2 linked regions of the Danio rerio genome follow. The protein of the gene in region 1 purifies or fractionates together with the protein of each later gene. This does not show direct contact. Links are inferred from orthologs where the notes say so. Each region holds a gene or a part of one and is shown in the gene's direction. Other genes may lie near its edges.

What was found.
Region 2: the proteins of lmna (region 1) and hnrnpm fractionate together in Homo sapiens (co-fractionation; 3 studies listed by BioGRID, with this or other methods). This does not show direct contact. The link is inferred for Danio rerio from reciprocal best matches to the Homo sapiens genes LMNA and HNRNPM.

What each region holds. Positions count from the first base shown.
Region 1 is NC_133191.1:33,779,219-33,784,183, reverse strand, and holds part of lmna (lamin), read left to right. Parts: intron 1-785; 5' UTR 786-806; coding exon 807-1,153; intron 1,154-4,965.
Region 2 is NC_133197.1:17,230,534-17,235,498, forward strand, and holds the end of hnrnpm (heterogeneous nuclear ribonucleoprotein M), read left to right. Parts: coding exon 1-85; intron 86-188; coding exon 189-342; intron 343-436; coding exon 437-486; intron 487-567; coding exon 568-628; intron 629-714; coding exon 715-813; intron 814-914; coding exon 915-956; intron 957-1,676; coding exon 1,677-1,766; intron 1,767-1,876; coding exon 1,877-1,981; intron 1,982-2,065; coding exon 2,066-2,679; intron 2,680-3,778; coding exon 3,779-3,830; intron 3,831-3,915; coding exon 3,916-4,079; 3' UTR 4,080-4,296; downstream 4,297-4,965. UniProt on the Homo sapiens protein: Pre-mRNA binding protein in vivo, binds avidly to poly(G) and poly(U) RNA homopolymers in vitro. Involved in splicing.

The sequences.
Region 1 (4,965 bases):
TTATCTGGGTTTGTCTAGCCAGGAAGGAACATTTTGAAGGTTTTTAATAAATGTTTATGCTGGGAATGTTTGTATGAATGCTCTTGGATGAGATCAGTGGTTGGGCATGGCAGAAACTTTAAGACGCAAAGTTAGGGAGGGAACAGAAAAGGGATGGAGTTTGGATTTGCATTTATTTTATTTTTATTACCATAATAACTTACAGTCTCAGACTTCAATACTGTGACGCCCCCAATTTTAGTTGTTTTACTTCAGCGATTGTAAAATGGGTCAGGATACTTTAATTGAGATAAGTTGCAATGTATACAGTATAAACCCTATCTGAGGTTAAGATCTTATCTGGGTTTGTGTATTCAAGAGGGAACATTTTGGAGATTTATTTGAATGTTTATTCAGGAAAAGTTTGTCGGGATGCTCCTGGATTTTTTTTTTTGAAAGAGAGATAAACCAAATAGACTTATTTTTGCAGCATTTGTGTTTATTTCTTTTTTATTAGCACAATAAATCACAGCATCATTTTTAAACAGACAGACTTTGACTTTAAAAGATACCTGAACATATTATTTATGAAAAAATTCTATCCTATATTCAAACACAGTCATTGTTCAATTTATTGAAACCCTCTCCCTATTCATTTAAATGAGAGGTTGGGTTTTTGGCAACTTTTCCAAACAGCATCTGATTTATGCTCTTATTTAGAAAGGGTTGTAATAATTCTATTCTATTCTATTCTATTCTATTCTATTCTATTCTATTCTATTCTATTCTATTCTATTCTATTCTAGTATCAGTAGTTCCAGACAACCATGGAGACTCCAGGTCAGAAACGAAGCAGCCGCGGTGGGGTGACCAATGTCCTGTCCCCTACCCGCATCTCTCGATTGCAGGAAAAGGAGGACTTGAGCAACCTGAATGACCGTCTGGCGGTCTACATCGATAAGGTTCGCTCTCTGGAGGTGGAGAACGCAGGTCTGCGTATGCGCATCACTGAATCCGAGACGGAGATCAGCCGGGAGCTGAGTGGCATGAAAGCGGCGTACGAGGCTGAACTCGCAGATGCCAGGAAAACACTGGACTCGGTGGCCAAAGAACGAGCCAGACTGCAACTGGAGCTCAGCAAAGTGCGTGAGGACTACAAGGAGCTGAAGGCCAGGTATGTGTTCATTTTTTTTTTATGTAAAAGTTTTATACATTGATATTAGTAAGAGTATGAAGGCTATTAGAAAGTTGAATGTTATCCCTATATGGAGTTTTGTTTTCAGTATTTATAGGATACAATGTAATGATATCACAAAAACAAGCATGCTATTTTTCTGAATTTCAGTAATGATTTATTACATAAAACTTACATTTTAGACACATTATTAAAAGCTTTTTTATATTGTTGATGAAAATATATTCAAACTATGCAGGAACACAGGGCTCACAAAATTTAGTTGCCCTAAGTCTCGGGGCTATTGTTTTTTCAGTGGGGCTACCAAATTTGATCTACACCATGCCCACTAGATAACCCACTGGGCACAGTGTAGATGGATTTTGGTAGCCTGACTGAAAAAAAAAACAATAGCTTTGGGACTTTGGGCTACTAGATTTTGCGAGCCATGGAGCAGAATATTTGTAATTTTTCAATCCATCTGTTTTTGTTTGACTTGTGTGTAATTGATTAATTGATCCATATATAAAGGAAGTCACTGGATTTGTTTCTAAATAAACTAGCAGTTTTGAACAAATCATTTGAATGAATGATTCAATGAATAGTAACTAATTATGAGAGGGTTATTGGCACCAAATACTGTTGTTTTTGTTTTTGTTGTTGTTGTACTTATCAAAATGTTTTATTATTATTGAAATAAATTCCCAGAAATATTGATATGATAGGCGACGCGGTGGTGCAGTGGGTCGCATGCTCTCCTCACAACAAGAAGGTCACTGGTTAGAGCCTTGGCTGGGTCAGTTGGCATTTCTGTGTAGATCTACCATGTTCTGCTAACCTGTCTCTAAAACCACACATGCAAGTTTAGGTAATGGAGTCAATACACAGTACACACTGCCTCAACCATCCCCTGCCAGCAGAAACATAAGCGAATATAGAAACGTCTATGAGCAGAACAGTACGATCTGCTTCACGGCATACATCACATATTTTTCTTGTTGCCCATAGGTGGAGTAAGCCAACAGCTAACTTTAAGATGAAATAATGTTATATGCAAGTCTAGAAAACAGCACAGTTGCATAGCCAACAAAGAATTCAAGAAGATAAAGGACAAGCTTGAGCCTGAACGACACTGTAAAAGCGATTAGTTGACTTTACTTTAAAAGTGTTAGTAAACCTGATGCTTTTAAAGCAATTAGTTGACTTTGCTTATAACAATAAAGTAAACTGGTTCCGTTTAAAGTGGTTATTTGCCTTTAAAAACATTAGAAAACCTGTTGCTTTTACAGCCATTAGTTGACTTTGGTTAAAAAGTGATCAAAAGTAAACAAATAATTTTAAGGGATTTGTTGACTTTAAAAAATCAGTTAACATGTTTTCATAAAATGATTGGGTAAATGAACCATGTGTATTATTATAAAAATATAAAGATAAGTTGCCTTAAGTTGCAACAAGGCACTTAAGTCATTGTGCTTACTTTTTATGTAAGGTGACTAATCGTTTTTTACAGGGAAGAATCAATATCGGACAAGCTTACACTTGGTCATGTATGAACAATTATTCAAATATTGAATAAATTAAATTTGAATGAAAAGTCTCTTAAAACCAGCAAGCCAGTCAAACCAGTAAACCAGTCTGCAGTTTAAAGTTGCAGTTACATGAGTGGCAATTACTGTGACTCATTCCACCCTGGAACCAACAGTATTTCCACTAGGATTAGTTTCAGAACGGTGTGTGGCTTACTGATCCATAAAACACTCAAAAGCTGCAGACAGTGGCTAATGCAAGTGCTTGTCCTCTGTTGCTCTCTGAGATTTCTTTCACACATCCTAGAGATACTGTAAGTTTAACCCTAAAGAGCAGGACGGTGTCTATCCCCTGCCCCTGGGCTCTCAGCCTAGTCCCTGGCTAAATTTAGCTGAACCATGACGGCAGTTTTCTACACTGCACATCTGCTTATTGCTCCTGTCACTGAGGCTGACAGCTCAGAGCTTTACTCTGTTTGATGTGTTCTTAAATTAAAATGAAATTTATTTAATTTAAATTATTATCATGGCTTTAAACAAATAATCCCTGTAGTTCTAAACCTTGGGATTTGGGTTTGATATTCTCACCAAAGTAGAAATGATTTCATAAAAACAACAACACTAAAACCACACGCATGCCATGTCTGTTGCTCAGTGGAGCAGGTATGTGAGGTGTGAATGTGGGTGTGTTGTGTGTGCTTGGGAAATGTCTGTTGGATTCTCTGCCACACCCTTCTGCAACTTGTGTAGTGTGTCTGTTTCTGTTTTGTGTCATTACATTCCTCTTTATAGTTTGATAAAGTCTTCTTTTTTATTGTTTTGCTGCTAGGGTAACATATTGTACTGATTAAGAAATGAGAGTAACATTTTTACTATGTGAAGTTTTCACCAGTAAGCAAGATGATACATGTTTATAATTTGCACTGTAGTGAGTTGTTTTGATGATTAATTAGTTAAATTAGTTCCCAGTGTGTGTTGAGCCTCCACTAGCGTCACTCAGTATAATGATAGGAATAAGGGATAATAAGTCAATTCATTCATTTTCCTTCAGCTTAGTCCCTTGTTTATCTGGGGTCACCACAGAGGAATGAACCGCCAACTTTTTCTGCATTTGTTTTATGCAGTGGATGCCCTTCCAGCTGCAACCCAGTACTGGGAAACACTCTTATATTCACACGCACTCATACACTACAACCAATTTAGTTCATTCAATTCACCTATACCGCATGTCTTTAGACTGTGGGGGAAACCGGAGCACCTGAAATAAACCCACGTGAACGTGGGGAGACAATGCAAACTCCACACAGAAATGCCAGCTGGACCAGCTGGGACTTGAACCAGTGACCTTCTTGCTGTGAGGTGACAGTGCTAACCACTGAGCCACTATGCCGCCAAAAGCCAATTATAATTACTTTAATGTTTCAAATAACTTTTGTGCAAATAAAAGCTTAGCATATGGGTGAAAATAACACTTCATCGCCATTCAGTGTAATGGGTATATTTACATGAAAAATTAATCGTTATATTTATTTTGATGTTTATGACAATGCATTGCAGAATAAGTGATAACTGTTGAAAGGATTATGAACTTCTTTCTGGTGATCATTAAATAGTATTCTTTAATGTCATCAAATGATTCTCTAAAAACAGTCATATTGTTTGTTTATTTTGTTTAGAAACTGTTAGCACCATTGAAATGGGCATCTTTAGTAAATCATTGTAAAATAAGATCGTCAAATGTGTATTATGTATTCATCAAATGTGTATTGGCCGGCAGCTAGCTCTCTCAACTCTCACATGGTCACCCTCTAAAGCCAAGCAAGGCTACACCAGGTCAGCACCTGGCTGGGAGACCACTTGGGAAAGCTAGATTGCTGCCGGAAGTGGTGTTAGTGAGACCAGCAGGGAGTACACATCCTGCAGTCTGTGTGGGTCTTAACACCCCAGTATAGTGAAGCGGATTCTCTATTGCTTAGTGAGCGCCGTCTTTCGGATGAAACCTTAAACCAATGTTCTGACTCAATGTGGTCATTAAAAACCCCAGGATGTCCTTCAAAAAATAGTTGCCGTTTAACCCCGGCATACTGGCCAAATTTGCCCACTGGCCTCCTAACCATCCCCGTATCAAAACTGGCTTCATCACTCTGTCTCCTCTCCACCAATCAGTTGGTGTGTGGTCTGGCGCAATAAGGCTGCCGCCACGTCATCTAAGTGGTGGTGGATGAGGAGATTCCCCCAAAAATGTGTAAAGCCCTTTGAGTGTCCAGAAAAGCACTTTATAAATGT
Region 2 (4,965 bases), on another chromosome or scaffold:
TCTCATGAACAACCCTAACATTCCCAACGAGGTCATCCACGGCCTCCAAGCTGGAAAAATTGGAAGCACCATTTTTGTGGCTAATGTAAGATTTTTAACCCTTTGTGGACCATATGAAGATTCTGAAAATGTGCCCGCTGAGTATTGATGTGGCTTTTTTTTTTTTTTTTTTTTTTTTTTTTGCACAGTTGGACTACAAAGTGGGATGGAAGAAACTGAAAGAGGTGTTCGGGATGGCCGGTATGGTCGTGCGTGCTGATATCCTGGAGGATAAAGATGGGAAAAGCAGAGGCATGGGAACGGTCACATTTGACATGCCTATTGAGGCTGTTCAGGCAGTCTGTATCCTTCATGATAGTTTGTGCTATTGGTTTAAATGAAGTTATGCTATATAAATGTACACAATGGATGAAAATTGTTCCTTAATTTGTATTAGCCATGTTTAATGGTCAGCTCCTCTTCAACCGGGTCATGCATGTCAAACTGGTAAGTAAACGAGCTGATTTAGTGATTTATGTTTGCTAAACTCTTCCAAATCCCCCTTCAAATCGGTCATTGTCTTTTTAGGATGAGAAATCCCTTCCAAAAGGAGACTTTGCACCCCCAGAGCGTGCTCCAGCACTTCCTCGTAAGTGCTAACTATATTTGCTGCCTTCACATTTAGCAATTTTCATTGCAATTCTTCTCTAAACCAGTTTCCACAATCTCCTCCAGGTGGTTTGAGCGGTGTTGGTCTTGGTCTGGGACCCGGCGGTCAACCCATTGATGCTACGCAGCTCAATCGTGGCGGGATGGGCAATATGGGGCCAGGAGGTAAACGCATGTCTCCTGTTGAATTGTATGCATTGTTTCTGCATGTTCTCCCGCACTGACCATCATCCCCCTCTCCCTTCATCAATTCATTTTCCCCATAGGAATGGATGGAATGGGCTATGGTGGCATGGGTAGAATGGGAGGTATGTGTTTTAATGGGACATCTCAAGCCCTTTTTTCCCTCCCTCCTTCCCCTCGGGGCATGTTTTTATCGCATATCAGTAGGGTTTACTGAATTTGATTTGCATGCTGTATTTTGAAGGTTTTTAGTTTGATAGAAAAGGCAATGCCCAAGCTGTCTTGATCTATACATTTTCTTCTAAAGAGGTGCAGGATTTTAAATTATTATTATTATTATTATTATTCCTACTTCTGTTGCATTCATAGTAAGTGTTTGTCACAATAGGCATTGTTTCAGATTATTTTTTAAGGAGGTTACATGGCCATGTTTGAAGGTTGTGTGCAAAACAGCATCTGCAGTCTTATCAGTCAATCTCTGATATTACTGAAACAAAAAACTTGCCCATCTTTGTCGGGATGTTTTGCAGTATCTTAGACATGGCTTGTCCAATAAAACACCAAATAAAAGAGAAATGCATCCCAAAACACTGGCGTTGCTAATTCACTTAAGACTCTCTACATCTAACTTATTATGCCAAAATCATATTTTGACAAATAGTCGTGACAATGTAAATTTGGTGTGATCTGAATTGTGATTTGTTTAATTAATAATGGTATTTCATTTTATATTGAGGCTTTTTATCCCCAACAATTTTTTTTTAATTTTTTTACACTACTTATCCACTGCATTAAAGATTTTTTTGTGAGTTTTAATTTGGTGCATAATTTATCTATGACTTCAGGCATGGACAATTTTGGAGGCGGCGGCGGTGGTGGTGGCGGCATGAACAACATGGATCGTTTCGGACCTTCTGGAATGGGACGAATGAATGGTATGAGTTTTATTTTTATTATATGCATGTATGAAATCAGTTTATTTTTTGTCTTTGTCTAATTGTTCTAGTTGAAGTGAGAGTAAAGCTTTATTTTCTTTTGACTTCAGATATGGATCGTGGAATGGGTGGTGGCTTTGATCGAGATTTCAGTGGTCGTAATGACATGGGAATGTCCCGCAGCAACTTTGGAGACTCTTTTGATCGAGGAATGGGTCAGTAACATTGTACAGAATTGTGTAAAGTACATGAAAATGTGCAATATGTAAACCCATTTTTTAAAATCTTCCAATTCCCAGGAAACTCCATGGGTATGGATCGCATGAATTCTGGCATGGATCGGCTTAGTGGTGGAATAGACCGTATGGGAGGAGGAGGAGGAGGTGGAGGAATGGACCGCATGGGAGGGGGAGGAGGAGGTGGAGGAATGGACCGCATGTCTGATCTGGACCGCATGGGTTCTAGCTTTGATAGAATGGGGTCAGGGCTTGACCGTCTCGGCCCCAGCATGGATCGTATGGGTTCAGGCCTGGACCGCATGAGCACTAGCGTGGACCGTATGGGTCCTGGTGGCTTTGACCGCTTGGGCTCGTCCAGCATGGATCGTATGAGCGGTGGAATGGACTTTGCTTCTCCCATGGGCATGGACCGGATGAACACAGGTCTCGATCGAATGGGCTCAAACTTTGACCGCATGGGCTCTGGTGGCATGGACCGTTTCTCTTCGGGTCTGGACCGCATGGGCTCCAGCATGGATCGAATGGGATCTGGTGGCATCGGTGGCCAGTTTGACAGGCCCGGAGACATGGACCGTGGTAACTTTGGTTCTCCATTCGGCGGGTCTGGGCAAGGAGGAGGACCAGGGTCTGGTGGAGCCAATGCCAGGAAGGGCTGCCAGATTTTTGTCAGAAATGTAAGCAGACAGTATTCTTATTATTGGGTAATACTGTAGGGAAGGATTAAACCAAGAACAATGGGATTAATATTGTTGTGTACATGCACTTGCATATTTATTAAATAACACCACACTATGATGAGCAAGTTTAAAACTGAAACTGGTGGGCAATAGCAGACAGTCGTCAACATTTAAAGTAGGCTTGTCATGATACTGGAATTTGGTACCAATCAATACTGAAGTTTAAAAACGGCCATTTCCCGCTAGCATTTGAGCGCTGTTGAGCTCATAGGAAACGGTTGTGATTGGCTGTGAAGGTCATCAGTTCACCAAACTCACCGCTGTTTACTGAGTGGAACCACAGATACAAGGACGCTGGAGCAATTTAAAGTCATGATTCATCAGCTTGTAGACAAACCAGATGATTGATGTGACTTTAAAACACTTCAGTGTTCCTGTATCTGTGGTTCCACTCAGTAAACAGCGGTGAGTTTGGTAAACTGATGATTTTCACAGCCAATCACAGTCATTTTTGTCGAGCATGTGAGCACAATAGCCAATCCGCTGAGTGCGGTCGAATTTTAGCGGGAAATGGACGGTTTAGAATTTTGTTATCTATTGGTACTGATTTCCAGTATCTTGACAACACTAATATGAAGTGGATAAACGTGTTTTTCAAAATCGTCCTAAAACAATGAGTGGTGTTTACTAGTTGTAGGACAACTTTGATGGTCATTATTTTTTAGATACACGTCAAATGTTGAATACTGTAGTCAAAGTTGTATTCTGTTTTCATTTAATTAACTGTTAACTGCATTTCACAATTGAGACTTAACAAATTTATACCTCTTGCATCAATTGTAAACTGATCCTGCTTCTATGAAGTTGATGTATTAAGTTAAATTTCTTGCCTAAAGTCAATAAGAAAATCTTCAGAACTCTTCAAACTCATGATGATAATTGACTGGTGAGATTAAACAAGTTCATTTTATGCAGGATTTGATTAGAAAGTGAAAACCGTCACTATTTTGTGGCCGCCCACACAGCCTGTTGCATCATCAGTCAGGAAACGATGTTTCTGTCCACTCTTTAATAATGAATTCATTTGTTTTTCCAGCTGCCCTTTGACTTCACCTGGAAGATGTTGAAGGACACTTTTAATTCCTGTGGTGAGATGTCTTTCCAGTCCTACTAAACCCAGACTTCTATTCTGTCAACATTTGTAATGTATTTTCTGTGTGTTTTTCCGTCCAGGCATGGTTCAGTATGCAGATATAAAGATGGAGAACGGGAAGTCTAAGGGCTGTGGTGTGGTGCGCTTTGACAATCCTGAGACCGCTGAGCGAGCCTGTCGCACCATGAACGGCTACCGGCTCAACGGCAGAGAGATTGACGTCAGGATTGACAGAAATGCGTAATCCTACATTCTTTGCCTTCCATATTCGATTCCCTCCACCCCATACACTATGCTTTCCAGGTTATTTGTCAGTTACATATTTGTGCCAAATGGTACATTTTTAGGTTTATGACTTTTTAGAGACCAAATTTTTTTTTTTTGCCCACTTTTTATTGTGATGCTTTCCAACAAATTGCCTTTGTTAAAGGTTTGCTAATAAATCTGTGTTGAGAACAGAAGCACTCTGTGTTGTGTGGTTCTCTTCAGATCACTAGACCCGGATATCTCATCACTTTAAAAACAAAAGCCAAGTGAATCAAGTTGTTTATTTGAAGGTTCTGAACAAAATGTACACACATCAGTCCATTGGTGGTGGTCTTCTTCATAGAGGTAACTGTCTATGCTGTACATCAATGCAAATACTCACATTTTGCCATGCTCTTTTGCTATCGAAGGGGGGCACACAGCTTGTTTTTCTTTTGACCACACACATACACACAAAACAGCTCAATTTTTGGAAGAGCAAGCGATTGATACAATTGTATGTCTGAGACGGTACAGACTTTACCATCCCAACTGAAGTTTACACGATACAAAAAAAAAAAAACCAGCTGGAAGAATGGGTGGGTTTCTGCAAGCCACTCGTGCGAAATAAACCCTCGAAAAACATTTAAAATATAATTTATATGTATTTAAATATCTATATACAAATTCTCTAAGACACTATCATAGGGTGGGAGAAAGAGAGACTGAGTTGGTGAGTATTTTTCTAACTGTAGGTTGGCAAGAATATAAGGCAACTTAAATATGCGTGTGCTACACTTTACAGATATATTGCTGTAGTAGTCGCTTCAGATACGACAGCAATATCAAATAGCAACTGGCCACTGCACGTTATAAGAATCCGT